Linked DNA regions of Alligator mississippiensis. The protein of the gene in region 1 purifies or fractionates together with the protein of each later gene. This does not show direct contact. Links are inferred from orthologs where the notes say so. Each region holds a gene or a part of one and is shown on either strand. Other genes may lie near its edges.

Region 1 (7,460 bases):
CACATATCATCCCTGCACTGGGGTCAGGGACAACACCTATCCATAGACCAGGAGGACACACATTAGTAAATCAAGTCTTGCAACCACTGCTTTGTATCAGGGATGTGTTTTACTAGGGACGGGCTGTTGATCCACCAAGAGATGAAGGCCAGTGTTTCCAAAAATAACCGCTGATTTAAAGGTGTGTCTATTTTGGGTGCACAGTTTTACATGCTTCACTTTTCAGAACTGCTGAGTATTCACTACTGTAGCTGAGGAAACTGGGAGATCCAGGGCTTCACAGATAGTCTGAATTTTTGGCACAATTTGGGCATCTAGAATGTGACACAATTAAAATCAGCCGCTATTTCTTTTTTCACCTGAGTTCACTTGGCAAGTCATGGGTAGATTTGAGAACTGAACCCCAAATTCCTAAGTCTTACTACCATGGTCAACCTAATAGAAGCTGTTCCTTCCTCCTATCCTGTGTCCTTCCATGGGACAGAAAGCCAGCAGCAGTATGTCAGTCTGGAGAAGCAGCTCAGATGCTGTGCTACTGAGTCTAAAACCAAAGGTGATCTCTTTACCAACAAGTGAAGTGTGCTTCCATATGAGAGTACCTCAGAGCCACAGTTAGGAGTATAGGGAAGAAAATAGCTCTCACCTGCTCTGTTCCTGACAAACAAATACTCCTGATTGGGTTCCATTAAAACGCCTGTGTTGCATTTCTGGTGAACAGTTTCATCTCCCCATTTGCATCATACGGCTATGTACAACCTGAAGTCCAAACGGTGTTCTACAGAGGGGAATTACTCTGAATACCAGGTAGTTCCAAATAAACTCATGATTTATGCCCAGGAATAAATTATTTTTAAAAGCAGTGTTGGTACAAGCTGCAGAGAGAAGATGGAAAAAGCCTGGGGACTGCCAGAATGCTGCCACATAAAATCCTTTTCTGTCAACGATGGAAAGAACGTAACCACTTGTTCTAGTCCAAATTACCCAGTCCAGCGGAATCCTAAAGATCCTTTAATCCCTAAAGACTCGCTTCTGTTTCCAGTGACATCAGCCTGGTTTCAAAGGACACAGTATCAATGGCCAACCACCTTGCCATTGCCTTGAAGGTGAAGTGGCTATGCTGAGAAGGTGACCAGGACATGCAGACAAATTAGTAATCCCCTCCACTTCAGCCCCTTCCCTAGCACCATCACAGTGGAGTATCGCACATGAAGCACCATCAACTTCAAGTCGGGCTAGAGCGTGTTTTATCACTGAGTTTATGCCCACTGTTCCTCTCCCCTTGTGAGCAACTAATTAGTGGCTGTTACACATCGCTGGCCTCTATGGTATGCAGATAATGGCTTCATAGTATTAAAAGCACTCCTCACCCCTATTCATGAATGTTTTATCTCAACCTGACATATATAAGAGACTTAACATTTCTTTCTTGATTGATGCTATCCTTTTCTACCCCAAAAGACAATGAATCCTTCCACCCACTGCTCTGTTTCCAGGTGTGAAATCACAAAAGAAGCCATGATTAATGTTGAGAGATGCTCTTAGAGGCAAAATAACAGTGTTATAAAGCTATATCCTTTCCCTTATACTTAGAGATTAGGCTCCTAATATTTGGTTCTAGCTTTGCCAAACCTAAAAAGGAGGAAGAAACGATGGCTTTGTATCACCTTTGCAGTTTCCTAATTTTGAGACAACGGGGGATCATTTTATCACCACGCATATGCTAGAACAGTCCAAGAATTGATCTAGCTTCTACCTAGAGATTCCCAACAGCCCATTCTGGCAGCTGAGAACAGAAATGTAATACCTTGGCTTGCTATATCCTTTTCACTGATCTGACACTGCACGTGGTTGTAACTCTGGAAGATTGCTGGGGAAGTCAATCACGTCACTCCATATTTACCCTAGTCTGACTTGGAGTACAACATGAATCCTTTAAAACACACTTACATGCACAGTTGCATTCTGTCAACACAACTTGTTGGCATAAAGTTGGGAAACACACAGCCACTCTTTGGACTATGGGTGGATCTTGTCCCCCAGAGTCAAGGGGACCTGGAAATACGAGGGAGTATTTTTGCTGGTACTTGATTGCATTGCTGGATTTCTTTTCCTTTGGGAGAAACCTTGGGACTAACAACCATTCACTCAAATGGAAGAGGTCAAGTAATGGGCTTTGATCTGCAACATAGTGAGGAGCAGGTAGTAATGTTTGTGGCCTTTTCCACGGGATTTCATTCAACACACTAGGATCAGCCCCTAAGAAAATTCTGTCTCTTGTAAACATGAGTTTTACCCAAATTCCAAGAGGGACATTGTCAACCATCATCTTCATCCTGGAGTTTGAGGCACTATATTAGGTGCTCTGGGCCTAGGCCATGGAGTGGCTTGAAATTATTTGTATCTTTGGTCTTCTTTGCAGCCAGTGGAAATGCTCCCCTTAGGACACATGGGCCTGGCAGATTAGGCACTGCCTCAGGAGTGAGACCGGGTGGTGTTCTTTGTTTTGCAGCTGGTCTGGTGTCCAAGCTCTAGATACCTCTGCTTCTCCTACTCCTTGGGGCTCACGTACAGTCTATGGGTCTCTGAGACCATCTTCAGAGCAGGGCTGAGGATGAGAAAGGTGGCTTGAAACATGTTTAATCTACAGTTACACACCAATGAAACTTCCTCATCCCCTTCTCTTCTCCCCACAACAGAAATGGCCTTGCCCCTAAAGTGAAAGTTGAAACTACTCCATATCCCTCCCAGCTCATGAAAAACAGCATTTGAGGAGCCTCTCCCTCCCTTCCCAGAAGGAAACAAAGGAGCCGTGCCAGGCTATCTCCAACTCAGCTGACTTAAGCCTCTTCATACCAAGGTGAACAGTAAATTTCTCAGTTTATGGATATCAGGCTGCTGAGCACTCCCCCTCAGCTATATCAAGGAGGATTCAGCTCGAGTGCATCTGGGATCGTGGACAGCCATAGACCATTTAGCAGGTAGATCCAGACTCCCCAGCCACGTAGGGCTTTAAGGATTAAAACTAATACCTTAACCTCCCCCTGGAGACCTGGAGTCAGCCATGCAGACCCTAGAGCAGTAGGATCACAAGCTCACAGGGAGCTGGAGTAGGGGGGTCCTAGTGCAGCAGACCAGTCTCCAGGGCAATGTGCACCTGAGGCATCAGACGCCAGCTGGCAAAGGGTCTGGGCTGGCAGAGCACATGGAGACACGGGCTGTGCACGTGGGGCTACAGGTGGGGGAAGATCAGACAGGGAAGAAGGTTGTGGAGCCCTCTTCTGCTGCTGTTAGGCTGGGCATCAGCAGGGGCACCAGGAAGTCAGGCGAGGCCTGATGAAGCATGACCAGGGACCCCCAGCACGGCGCTGGACCAGCACACGGGGGTAAGGGCACAAAGGGATGCTGCTCAGTAGGGCTGGGAGGATGCAGGGGAGGGGGGCACAGGCACACGCATGCTCAGCCCTGCCCTGCTTGCCAGCACCTAATGCAGGATGTTTGCTCCTCCCCACCCAAGTCTTGAGACTTTATTTTGCAGAGGAAAAACATCTGTTTTATTCACGATTTCCCTTTTCGTTCAGTGCTGGCTAGGTCCAGATGCGGCACCAATTTCCGAGCCCTGTGACTCCAGGGCGATACAGAGATGGCCACCCCTGCCCTGGGGAAGGGCCTGGCACAGGGCGGCTCCTTCCACAACCAGGGGGTGACACCTTTCCTCTGCAAAATGAAGTCTCAAGCCTTGGGGGGGGAGCAAAAATCCTGCACAAGAAGCCCTCCGGCACGATGGCTGCTCCCCGGGAGCAGGGGAGCCGTGTCCCCAGACACAGAGGGGACTATAAGTCTATGAGGGGCGCACATCAGGGCCTGGGGGAGCATCTATTCACCAAGGCCCCCCCAGCAGAGGACAAGATACAATGGGTACAAAGTGTCTTGACGCCCACCTTGCTGGGGCATCTGACCCCAGCGGTCTGTCCTGCCCACGTGCAGGGGGGCTGGACCCGATGATCTGCAAGGTCCCTTCCAGCCCCTAACAACTATGACACCACGAGCGAGGTGGGCAGCACTCCTCTGCCACTGACTGAAGGCAGGGCCCTGCCCAAATCCCCTCGGAGAGACGCGTCTCCCGAAGGGGCGGGCCAACATCCGGCTCCCGGTGGCGGGCGGGGCTTACCGCAGGCAGGGAGACGTCACTCCCGGGCTGCCCGCGGTGGGCGGGGCCTCGCCGCCGGGCCGTGACGCGTCTCCCGAAGGGGCGGGCTAACATCCGGCTCCCGGCAGTGGGCGGGGCTACCGCTGTCTGGCACACGTAGCGTCCGAGCAGCCCGCGGTGGGTGGGGCCTTGACGCGAGTCTCGCCGTCGCGCAGTGGGCGGGGGCCCGCCTCCAGCCCCGCCCCCCCGGCCGTGACGCGACCTGGCCCCGCCCCCGCCGCCTCCTGCCCGCGGCGCCCCCCGCTCACGCAGACCGGCGCCATGGCGGAGCAGCCCGCAGCGCCCGCGCCGGCCCCGGCCCCGGCTCCGGCTCCAGCGCCGGCCGAGCCTGAGCCCGAGCCCCCCGCCGCCACCGCCGCGCCCGAGCCCCCCGCCGCCGGCTCGCAGCGCCTGCTCTTCTCGCACGACCTGGTGTCGGGGCGCTACCGGGGCGCCGTGCGCTTCGGCCTGGTGCGGCTCATCCACGGCGAGGACTCGGACTCTGAGGAGGACGAGGGCGGCCGCGGCGCCGGCGCCGGCGCCGGCAGCTCGGGCGGCTCCGAGTCGGGCGCGCCCGGGGCCGGCGGCGCGGACGAGAGCCGAGCCAGCCCCCTGCGCCGCGGCTACGTGCGGGTGCAGTGGTACCCCGAGGGCGTCAAGCAGCACGTCAAGGAGACCAAGGTGGGGCCCGGCCCGGCCCGGCCCGGCCGCCGCGTGAGCACCTCGGGGCGCGTGTCGAGCGGGACCCTGGCGTGCGGTGGCACACCACCTGCGTGCCGCGTGCGGGGCGCGCCCAGACCGCCCGGCCCCGCGCCTGTGCCTATTAAGTGGGGACATTAGCACACATGCATGTATTTGCCTAATGCCTGCCGATTAAGGTATGGGGGCTGCACCCCAAACCGCCCCGTCCCCTCCTCTGTCCCTGTTAAGCGGGGATACCTGTATATATTTGCATAATATCTACCTACTCATCAGTGGGGGCTGCGCCCTGAGTCCCCCGTCCCCGTGTATTCGTATATGAAGTGGGGATAGTCATATATTTGTACACCACCTTAGTCTTCATGTGTGAGGGTGCACCCCAAGCCCCCTCCCCTCCTATTTGCACGTTAAGTGGGGGTATTAGCACATATAATGTATCTCCATACTATCTATGTATTTGTCTCTGGTGGCTGCATCCTGAACCCCACCCCCATCCCTGCATATTTGCATGTTAAGTGGGGGCATTAGCGCATATAATATATTTGCATAGTGTCTATTTGTGTGCAGGGGCAGCACCCTGAACCATGCTCCCCATCCCCTCATATTTACTTATTAAATGGGCCCATTGGCATATATGTATATATTTGCGTAGTATGCATGTATTTGTGTGGGGGCTGCACCCCGAATCTCCCCATCCCCACGTATTAAGGGAATGTATTATGATATATGCATGTATTGAACCAGAACCCCCCCACGCCATAGTGCTCCCCACCCTGGCCCCAATCCTGGTGCAATGTGACGTCTGCCCGTGTTACCAGGCCGGGCCCCACCCGGATCTGAAATTCACTGGCACCCCCCAGTGCTGCTTGTCTCCTGCTAAAGTCAAGTTTTGCCCCCAGGTGTGCAGCCCCCCCATGCATCTGGGCTGGCCCGGGGTGTCAGGCACGCGCGTTGGCTGCAGCCATGTCTGAATGAAAGGCACATTGCTTGGAAGCCGGTCGCTGCCTCGGTGCGCGAGGGACGGGGGGACCCCGGGGGCCGCGGTGGCCTACCTCAGCCAGCTGAGCCTGTAGGCATGCCCCACAGCCACCCTGTGCCCCAGTTGCTGGGCTGCTTTGCACGGCTGCTGCTGGGAGCCAGCGCGGCCTGGAGTCGCCGTGGCTTAAAATAATTCCTCGTTTCCTTTGGAAGCGCAGCGGGTTCCTCGCGTCTGCTGGTGCTGGTGTGTTTGGGAGGAGGGGGAAATGAGCCACATCAGGTCTCGACATGTTCAAACTTGGTGTTGGATTCTGCTTGAGTCTCAACTACAGACCGTGCAGAGTCTAGAGGCAGCCACCCCGGGCCAGCCTGGGTTTTTTGGTTGAAAATGAGCCTCCCCTTCTTTCCCCACCCAAAGATTTGAAAACTGTTAGTATGTGAAGGTGAATTAAACTGTGAAGAGGTCATAAAGGAGTTTCTCCACTCTCGGTAGAAGCCGGTACAGCGTATATCCTATATCTCCTTCTCATATGGAATGTGTGAGATGTCTGTGCTAGGCTTGACCAGCTGAAGGTTTTAGACCAGGGTGGATTCATGGATTTACCCTTGTTTTTCTCTCCAGTGGTCCTTGCTGGCAGTCAGGCCTGTGTAAAGTTCAACCCCTTTACCCCTCTTTGAAGAGCTGCAAGGCATTGCTGGAAGGATTTGAGGCCTGCTTTTCCACTGCTCCCACTTCCCAAAGTTAGCCTAGTGGTGGGATTGTTACACACAGTGACTGATAATACAGGGGAGACAAAAGAGAGGGAGAGAGAGGGCACTGTATCATAATACAAAGGGGTCTGTGATGAATGGGCGTCACGCAGAACAAAACAGAAGGCCTGTGCTGTCCTGGCAGCAGAGAGGTTGTATTCTGCTCTGTGGGGCTAAGTGCAAGCATGCGCGCGCTCTCTGCACAGTCTTTGACCTCCCTCTGTAGAATCCTCCCTGGACTTCTGAAGCAATCAGTGCATTTGTAATTCTAGTAGAAATCGGTAGGATCATAAAATGCTAATGGTCTGAGCTAAATTTAGGGTCTGTCATCACCAGGCACGTGAACAGTTAAGGCACACAATATGAAATATAGAAGGCTATTAGTACTATGCACAGTATTTCTGCATTTATTTTTCAACCCTTCTTGGACTTGTGGTCCATCAGGCAATCGTTCCTTTTCACACGAAAATTCTTTTAAAAATGACTGGAGTTAAGCTCTTAAATCAATTTTTGGCACCTAAAGCATGAAGCTTCGAATTTAGGATTCATTATCAGGGTCCTTGAGTAGAAAATAGCAGTATCCATTTTCTCATGGCACCTTTTTTTCCTCTCTTCAGTATAGGCAGAAGGCTTGGCTCTCTTGCTATGAGAAATCAAAAGAGGTTGTTTAAATTAGTAGCCTTTTTCCTTTCTCTTTTATTGCCCTATTTCCTTTGCAAAGGTCAGAGACTTAACAGATAAAATGTGTTGTCGGGGGAATTCCAAAGTGCTGAAGGAATTTAGGAAGACGTATCCCTTTGACTTCTTGCTGCCCTTCCCCGTCTGAAAATTTCCCTCTACTCACCAA
Region 2 (7,488 bases), on another chromosome or scaffold:
AGCAGGGAGCTCCCAGCTACCTGTGCCCTGCACCCTCTGTCCCAGTGCCCAGGGAGCTCTTCAGGGTGCTGAGGCACAGCGTCCCCACCGCGGACCTTAAACAGCTCTTTTTCGGCTGCCAGATGTCAGGGACAAGGCTCCCAGCAAAGTTTAATGTCCCCAGTGGTGGGAACCCTTTGGCTTCCCCACCCCTGCCCCAACTGGGAGCCTCTGATCCCCCTCCCAGAGCACAGCCAGAGCTGCCGAGCGCAGGGGTTTTGACAATCAGCTGATTGTTGGCAGGGCTGAGAGTCCCACAGGGCTATCCCAGCAAGACCTAACACATTTCATTGTCGTCTCCAGACAGACCCCAGTCCTGTCCAGGGTTGGGGCCAACAATCGATTGTGTTTGTCCAGGCCTTGACAATCGGCTGATTGTCAGCCCAGACCACACCACAGCTGATTGGAGTCCCTGGCAGGGTCCCATGCTCCAGGTGACAATCGGTTGATTATCAGCCTGGCTGGACCTGCGAGCACTGCTCTGACAACTCGTTGGTGCATGGGGGGACCTGGGGTCTCCCTGCACTGGCAAGTAGTAATGAACTGACTGAGAACCAGTAACCTGGGAATCTCTTTGGTTACCAGCTTGTTTGTAGGATAGGATTTACTTGGTCCTTTTCATATGAATATACCCCTGAATTCTCTGCAGTAAAGGAGGTATGGTACAGCAGTAGTTTTACACACTGCATCTGCTCTGCTGCTCAATCAACACTGCCACACAGGTCCACTCTGCCCCCAATGAAAGGCAGGAGCAAACCAGCTCTGGATCCAACTGGTAACCCACCTGTGGGAATAAGATTTTAAACCCTAATGAGCTTGTATTTCTCCAGGTTTTTCTTCAGGGGCTTCCCTATCCCTCCATGAAGGATCGCTAGGGTATCAGTCTCTCTATGAAGGGCCCAAATAGAGAAAATTAATTTGCATTCATCTTGCAAACCAAAGCCCGGTAGCACCCTGTGCTTCTTCTTTGGCAATACAAATGAGTCAAAGGCAGGATGACTTAGCCTGAAAGCCTCTTTCTAAACAGCTATCTGCTTCACTACATGGTTCCTATCCTTATTTCTCTGTAGATATGAATATTATTTCATGGGATGTTAGTTTAATTCCTCAGGAGTAGTCATGTGTTTGCTTTCAAGGTGAATGGGAGCTATGCCTCACAAATAAAAAAGAAGGGTGCTGAGCCATCATAAAATGTCTGTGGGGGAAGTGGTGGCTCTGCCTAAGCTGCATGCAAGTTTATTTGCAATGGTGTTACATTTTAGCCAAGGGCAGTGCTCATTTCATAGAGAAATAAGGCTGGATTGGACTTCAAGCAATCATCTAGCCCATCCTGGGATTGAACCTGCAACCTCTATGTTGTTAACACCATACTCTAACTAACTCAGCTATATTTCTAAGTAAATATACCCTTTTTCCTGCTTTCCCCCATTTAGCTTCCTGCTTCATTTTGTTCTAAGGTCATGAGCTTTTAAGCAAAATCAGCACCTGGCTGAGAGAAGAGATACTGCAAAAAATGGGGTTGGGGCTCAGACATCATGCCAAGGACCACAGAAAGAGGGGAACAGAGAGGGTTGCAGGGAAGCATGAGGGGCAGGGACAGAAAGGGGAAACAGGACTGAAATGGGCCAAGGAAATGGGAATCTGAAGGAAAGGGTGAGAGATTTAGGGCCCTGAGGGGTTGGGTGGGAGATGAGGTCTGCGACAAGAGCACGGAGGGAAGGAAAGCTCCTTTGTTTCTACCACTGCAGCGTCTTGCCCTCCTGTTTTCCAAAAAATGCAAGCTGGGGGATGAGGACAAAGGCCAGGAGACAGGGTTAGGGCTAAGTGACAGGGTTGGAGGGAGATGAAATAATTCCTCCCTGCCCCAGGGAGATAGAGGCCATGCTCCAAAGCGGCAGACAGGCCTGTATTTACATTTATTTCAAACTTTAAATGGTCACACGATAATGTGGGGGCTGGCAGCTCCCTCCTCCACTCTGCAAAAGCAGAAGTCCGGTCTGTTGGAGAGGAGAAGAGTTGGGGGTTGTCCACATGCTGGTTCTGGAGGATTGAGGGGGCTTAGCCGTGTGGATGCTGGGGTTGGTAATACCAAAGAGCCGGAGAAGGAAATACCTTTCAGTAGCAGCCCAGTGTATGCAAAAGTATGGTTTCTGCATCTGGGAAGTGCCTGTATTTGCACAGCACAGGAAAGAGAGCTGTGCATCTACCAGAATATCTTGCCCTTCGCAGCAAAGATTGTTTTGGAGATCACAAGACTATCCGAAAATGCCAAATACAAGCCTAGCTGGACAAATCTGAGCTAGGTTTGTGAACCTGTCAGGGAAAAAGAACCAGCTTATGCTTGGCAACTGGAAACAAAGTCTTATGGGCAGCCCTAAATTGTTTCTCTTCAGTGGTTGTAAGCAAAATGGCATTTGAGAAACCAGAGCAAGAAGCAGTTGATAGCAACTGTGCCCAGACCAGGATGTCTGTGCCCTGAGTCCAGTCTGTGTCCTGACTTTGCAGATATCATGTTATCCACCATGGTCTGGCCTAATGGAGAGGAGAAAACACCTTTTATGCTTTGTAGCTCATCTAATCAGAGGGGTTGGAGCAGCAGAAATCTTAGGGTCGGAAGGATATCGTGCAGAGGTGGCCAGCCTGTGGCACAATTGCCACAAGTGGCATGTGCAGCCTGTGTGTGGCATGCAGCAGATAGGGCAGAAAGCAGAGGAGGAGATAGGTCAGGGAGCGCAGAGAAACAGGCAGAGGAAGGGAATCGGCATGGCACTTGGAGAGAGGACATGGCTAATTTGTAGCACCCCTGCCAAAAAAGATCAGTTCCCACTGATTTAATCCTGGTCCCTGCACAGATACTCTTCCTAAACCATCCCTGACAGGTGCCTGTCCAGCCTTTTGGAAACCTCCGGCGGAGAAGAGTCGACCACGGCCCCGCTGCTCTGACACCCCAGATGCTTTTTCTGAGCTTGAAGCTAAATCTGCCTCCCTGCAGTTTGGACCTGTTGCTTTGTGTCCTGTCCTCTCTGGGAGAGGAGAAGAGCTGGTCCCCTTCTCTGTGGCAGCTTTGCCAGGATGTGAACCCTGCTCTCCTGAATCTCCTCCTCCTCCAAACTAAATGCACCTTGTTCTCTCAGACTTTTCTCAGGGGACCTCTCCAGTTTCTCTACATCCTTTGTAAACCACAGAGCCCAGAACCACGCGCTGGACTCCCGCCGAGGCATAACGGAGAGGAGAGCGGTATTGCACAGCCCTCCGGCAAAGACACCCCCGGCCTGCATCGGCCTGCTAGTGTTGGCTCCCGTGGGGCATCCCAGGGAGGTGGTTAGCCACATTCATCCGAGGGCAGGTAGAAGGCAAGGTAGATTTGCACCTTTTATAGACTAACCAATTTGTGCGTGCACATATGCACACAAATACATACACTTGTGTGTGCATATACATAAGGACAGCGTGTGTGTGCGCATCTGCTTGTACATGCATTATGTGTGTATAATCGCTGTCTTGCTCTCCTCTCTCAAGGTTTTGTGGATTTACAGGCATTGGTTGTTTGCAGACAGGAATTCACCGGAGTGCAGACAGGGCCATGTCCGGGCTCGTTACTGCAGAGGGCTTAATTAAAAGCCTCCGTGCACTGGGAGCTGGTTTGTCCCCACCTTGCTGGGGCTGTCATTATCTCGTTGTGTGCAGCCCTGGTAGGGGCAGGTGGGAATCGCCAGCTCCTGCCTGGGACTGGCTGGGCGAGCGAGACTTTGCGTGGGCAAGGCGGGGAGGAGATTTTTTTTTTTTTAATTTAAAAGGGGGAAGGAGGGCGGTAATTGCAATGAACCCACCTGCCTTCATAATGGTGCACCTCACATGTATAAAATCACATTTAATGGGGGGGAGGTGTACTATAATCTTTTAACAAAGTTTAATTTTATATATATCTCACTGTCCTATATTAAAATAGGAAATATTTTATTTTCTAACCCTGTGTGTGTGTGTGTGTGTGTGTGTGTGTGTGTGTGTGTGTGTATGGATACATATTATAGGGTATATATTATGATATCTTACATAGTGTGCATGTGCATGTATGTGTGTGTGTGCATATATAGGGGGGGGGGTGTAAGATATCATAGCAGGTTATATGACCTACACCTGTACTAGTATGTGTGTATACATCTCGTTTACCATCAGGAAAAAATATATACACTATGTATGTATAGTATCTATAATGTATGACACACTTTTGCGCACACACGTGAGAGTGAGTGCGAGTCCCGGTCCGCCCGCAGCTGCCGTCGCTCCGTGCACGCCCTGTGCCCCCCCCCCCCCCCAGCGCGGGGCCCCGCCCCTTTAAGGCGGCTCAGGTCGGCACAGCGCAGCCACCTCCCTCCGCGGCGACCCCTGCCCCTTTAACAGCAACGGGCGCAGCAGTGCGGCCCCACTTAAAGGCGCGCGGCCTCGGCGGGATTCCTTCCCCCCGACCCTCACGGCCTGACGCGGGCCGCTCCGCACCAACCCCTTTAAGCGCGGGGCTGGGGTGTGAGGGGCCGCCATCTTGGCCGCTGAGGCCCCTCCCCCCCGTCGTTGCCGCCGCCTCAGCCTCACGATCCGTCGCCGGGGCCTCCGCGCCGCCGCCCGCAGGTGAGTGGGCCCCGTGTGTGTGCCCGCCGGTGTGTGTGCACGCTCTGCATACACCTGGGAAGATGCTCCCGCGGCCCTGAGGCGGGTCCGTCCGTCCGTCCCGACAGGACACGAGACGTGCGCGCGTCGCGTTCCGTTTCGGCCGCGCCGCAAACGCTGCCAAACGGGCGCGGTGAGCAGGTGCGTCCCGACCCAGTTGGATCCCAACCGGTCGCTTAAAATCCAGATCGCGCACTGATATGTATATAATATGCATATCTGTATTATTATATATATATGTGTGTGTATAATTATCTCATTATATATGTGTGTGTGTGTGTGTATATTATAACATTATAAGAGATACGATACAACGTGATGATTTCCTGCAGACCTGTGTACCTACGCCAGCCACGCAGGTACATGCTTGGGTTTGGTCACTAGATTTCGTATTATCGATTGATTTTTGTTCACGGAAACGTTAACCGTCGCGCTTTCTTCTCCCTTCCCGGCAGCAAAGATGCTGAGTTTCTTTCGGCGCACCCTGGGACGCCGGTCCATCCGCAAGCACGTCGAGAAGGAGCGGCTGAGGGAGGCCCAGAGGGCTGCCACCCACATCCCCGCGGCGGGAGACGCGAGGTCCGTCATCACGTGCCGAGTGTCCTTGCTGGACGGCACCGACGTCAGCGTGGACTTGCCGGTATGAGAAATACAGCGCTGGGTTTTGTTTTAAACCCCACCGCCCTGGTAACCCGGGGTCGTGTTCGTCCCTCGTTATAAATAGGTGCTGAAAGAGCGATGCGTTCGGTTGCGTGGATTATGCCGAATGCTTTTCATCGGGGTAACGTGTGCGCGCTACGGTCGGCTCTTGTTTTGGAGGAGAGATGTTAATAAATACACAGGGAGAGATTTGTATTTCCTGTTGGAGGATCTGGGTGTGTCTATTGAGGGGAGTATTACTGCGCATGCTGAATAGTTTCTCTGGCGTTTGGTTTTCTCTTTCTTTCATATGTGTGCATTCAGATAAGTGCTGATATGCGCGTTTCCAGAAAGACCCCTCTTTATAAAAATGAAGTGATGAGAGTTGGGATTCTTTGCAGGGTTTGTTATGGGATATTGTTGTGTCCGGGATGGATCTGTCCAAAAATATTAAAGCGGCATCAAGAGCTGAAGGGCGTGTTTGGTTTGCGTTGCGGTGTGTTGGCCGACAGGCTGGACAGCGGGTGACTCGTGCCGTTCATCTCTTCTTTCCACTTGCACCGGTTAGAGTAGTCGTGGTTCGCTGGGTTGAATTTGGGCAAGCCTGGCTTCGGTGAAGCCCTCTTGGCCTCTGACTGGGTCCCAAGAGATACTGGTGTGTGTGTTTGGGTGGGAGGGATGTTCCTCCATGGCTGGTGCCCTCGGTTAGGAAGAGTACGCAGTGCAGCCACTCGAAAGACAGATGGACTTTTCTCTTGTAAACGTTCAAGGGTCTGAACTTTCCCCAGCATTGCGAAGGCTGCGTGCCGGACTGCCGAGCAGTATTGAAACGATAGTCTGGTGCGGTGATGAGAAAAGAATTCCTTTCTCCAAGAATGGAAACCCCAAATACCTGGATATTTAACCCCCCCCCCCCAAAATAATTACAGTAATATGCTCTGAAGTGACTGTATTATAGACACTTGCAGTGAACAGTAAAATTAATGTGTACAGCCCTGTAAACGTGGAAATAATCCAGTTAACATGCCCAGTACAGTTCCATGTGCAAGATGCTTGATTTGAGGCCAGAAACGCCCACGGATACTTCATAGAGGTAACTGCAAATGGAAATACTAAAGTTTTATTGGTGTCTCTACACAAACAGTGGCGGTCTTTCTGGGACTGGAGTTGGCACTACAGGCGAATTCCTGGTGCCTCATTTCAAGTGCTGTTAGAAACATAAATTGAGCTTGGAGAGGTGTCATGCTCATGATCTATCGCCCAGGCTATTAAATTTTAATATGAGGTTTTAATAGTGACAGTTTTCTCTTTAAAAGAAAACGACTGCTCCCCTTTCTTCCCCCCTCTCTGTGACTTTCCAGCTTTTCTTTTAGTCAAGGGACAACTCTGGAAAAGGTACTGCTTACAGGCACCCTTGCTTTTCAGCAAGCTCTGCCTGTGGTTTTCTGAGGGAAGAGTTAACTAAATGAGTATACGGCTAGGTGTAATATTTGTAGCTGCCATCAGACACTAGCATGAACTTTTTCTTTCTACAGCAAGTGTTTAGTGGGTTCCTTAGGAGCTTTCTGTCACTTTTGAGGATGACTTCTTATTCATCTGTGATTTCTGACACCTTGCACTTGGGCCTTAGGGAGGGAGAGAAGGAAGAAAACTTAGGAAATTCATGAAGAAGGAAAAGATTGTTACTACTAGGTAGTGTGAAAAGTGTATGGGCTGTGGGGTAAGGGATCGTTTCTAACTAACAAACAGTCTCTTTGCAAAATGAAGCTCCAGTTTCTTGTTGCTTCTCCTCTTGTCCTGGCTGTGGCCATGGCTACACTAGTTGTTGCCCTGAGACAGTGACCCTGAAAGTAGAAATCTGGAAATACCTGCCTTGAAACAACTATACTGTATGTCCTTAGTTGTTGTTGGAAAACTAGAACCAGGATAACATTTCCCACGTTAGGGTAGATTCATTTCTTTATTAGTGTGTATCAGGTGCTGAGCTCTTTCTTTTGGGACAACTGGAATATTCCTGAAAGAGCTGGTCCATGTGCCAGTGGCATTCATTTTTAAGACACACGCCTTTCTGTGGCTAGAGTTTGGGAAGCATTTCACTACTCATGGGCCTGATGGTCAGACCTGGACCGTAAGGGAAGCATGCTT

What was found.
Region 2: the proteins of UBE2O (region 1) and EPB41L5 purify together in Homo sapiens (affinity purification with mass spectrometry; 3 studies listed by BioGRID and IntAct, counting the BioPlex papers as one, with this or other methods). This does not show direct contact. The link is inferred for Alligator mississippiensis from reciprocal best matches to the Homo sapiens genes UBE2O and EPB41L5.

The regions. Positions count from the first base shown.
Region 1 is NC_081831.1:13,954,423-13,961,882, reverse strand, and holds the start of UBE2O ((E3-independent) E2 ubiquitin-conjugating enzyme), read left to right. Parts: upstream 1-4,444; 5' UTR 4,445-4,468; coding exon 4,469-4,867; intron 4,868-7,460. UniProt on the Homo sapiens protein: E2/E3 hybrid ubiquitin-protein ligase that displays both E2 and E3 ligase activities and mediates monoubiquitination of target proteins. Negatively regulates TRAF6-mediated NF-kappa-B activation independently of its E2 activity.
Region 2 is NC_081827.1:248,597,221-248,604,708, reverse strand, and holds the start of EPB41L5 (band 4.1-like protein 5), read left to right. Parts: upstream 1-4,480; 5' UTR 4,481-4,665; intron 4,666-4,676; exon of another isoform or gene 4,677-4,845; intron 4,846-5,159; 5' UTR 5,160-5,164; coding exon 5,165-5,344; intron 5,345-7,488. UniProt on the Homo sapiens protein: Plays a role in the formation and organization of tight junctions during the establishment of polarity in epithelial cells.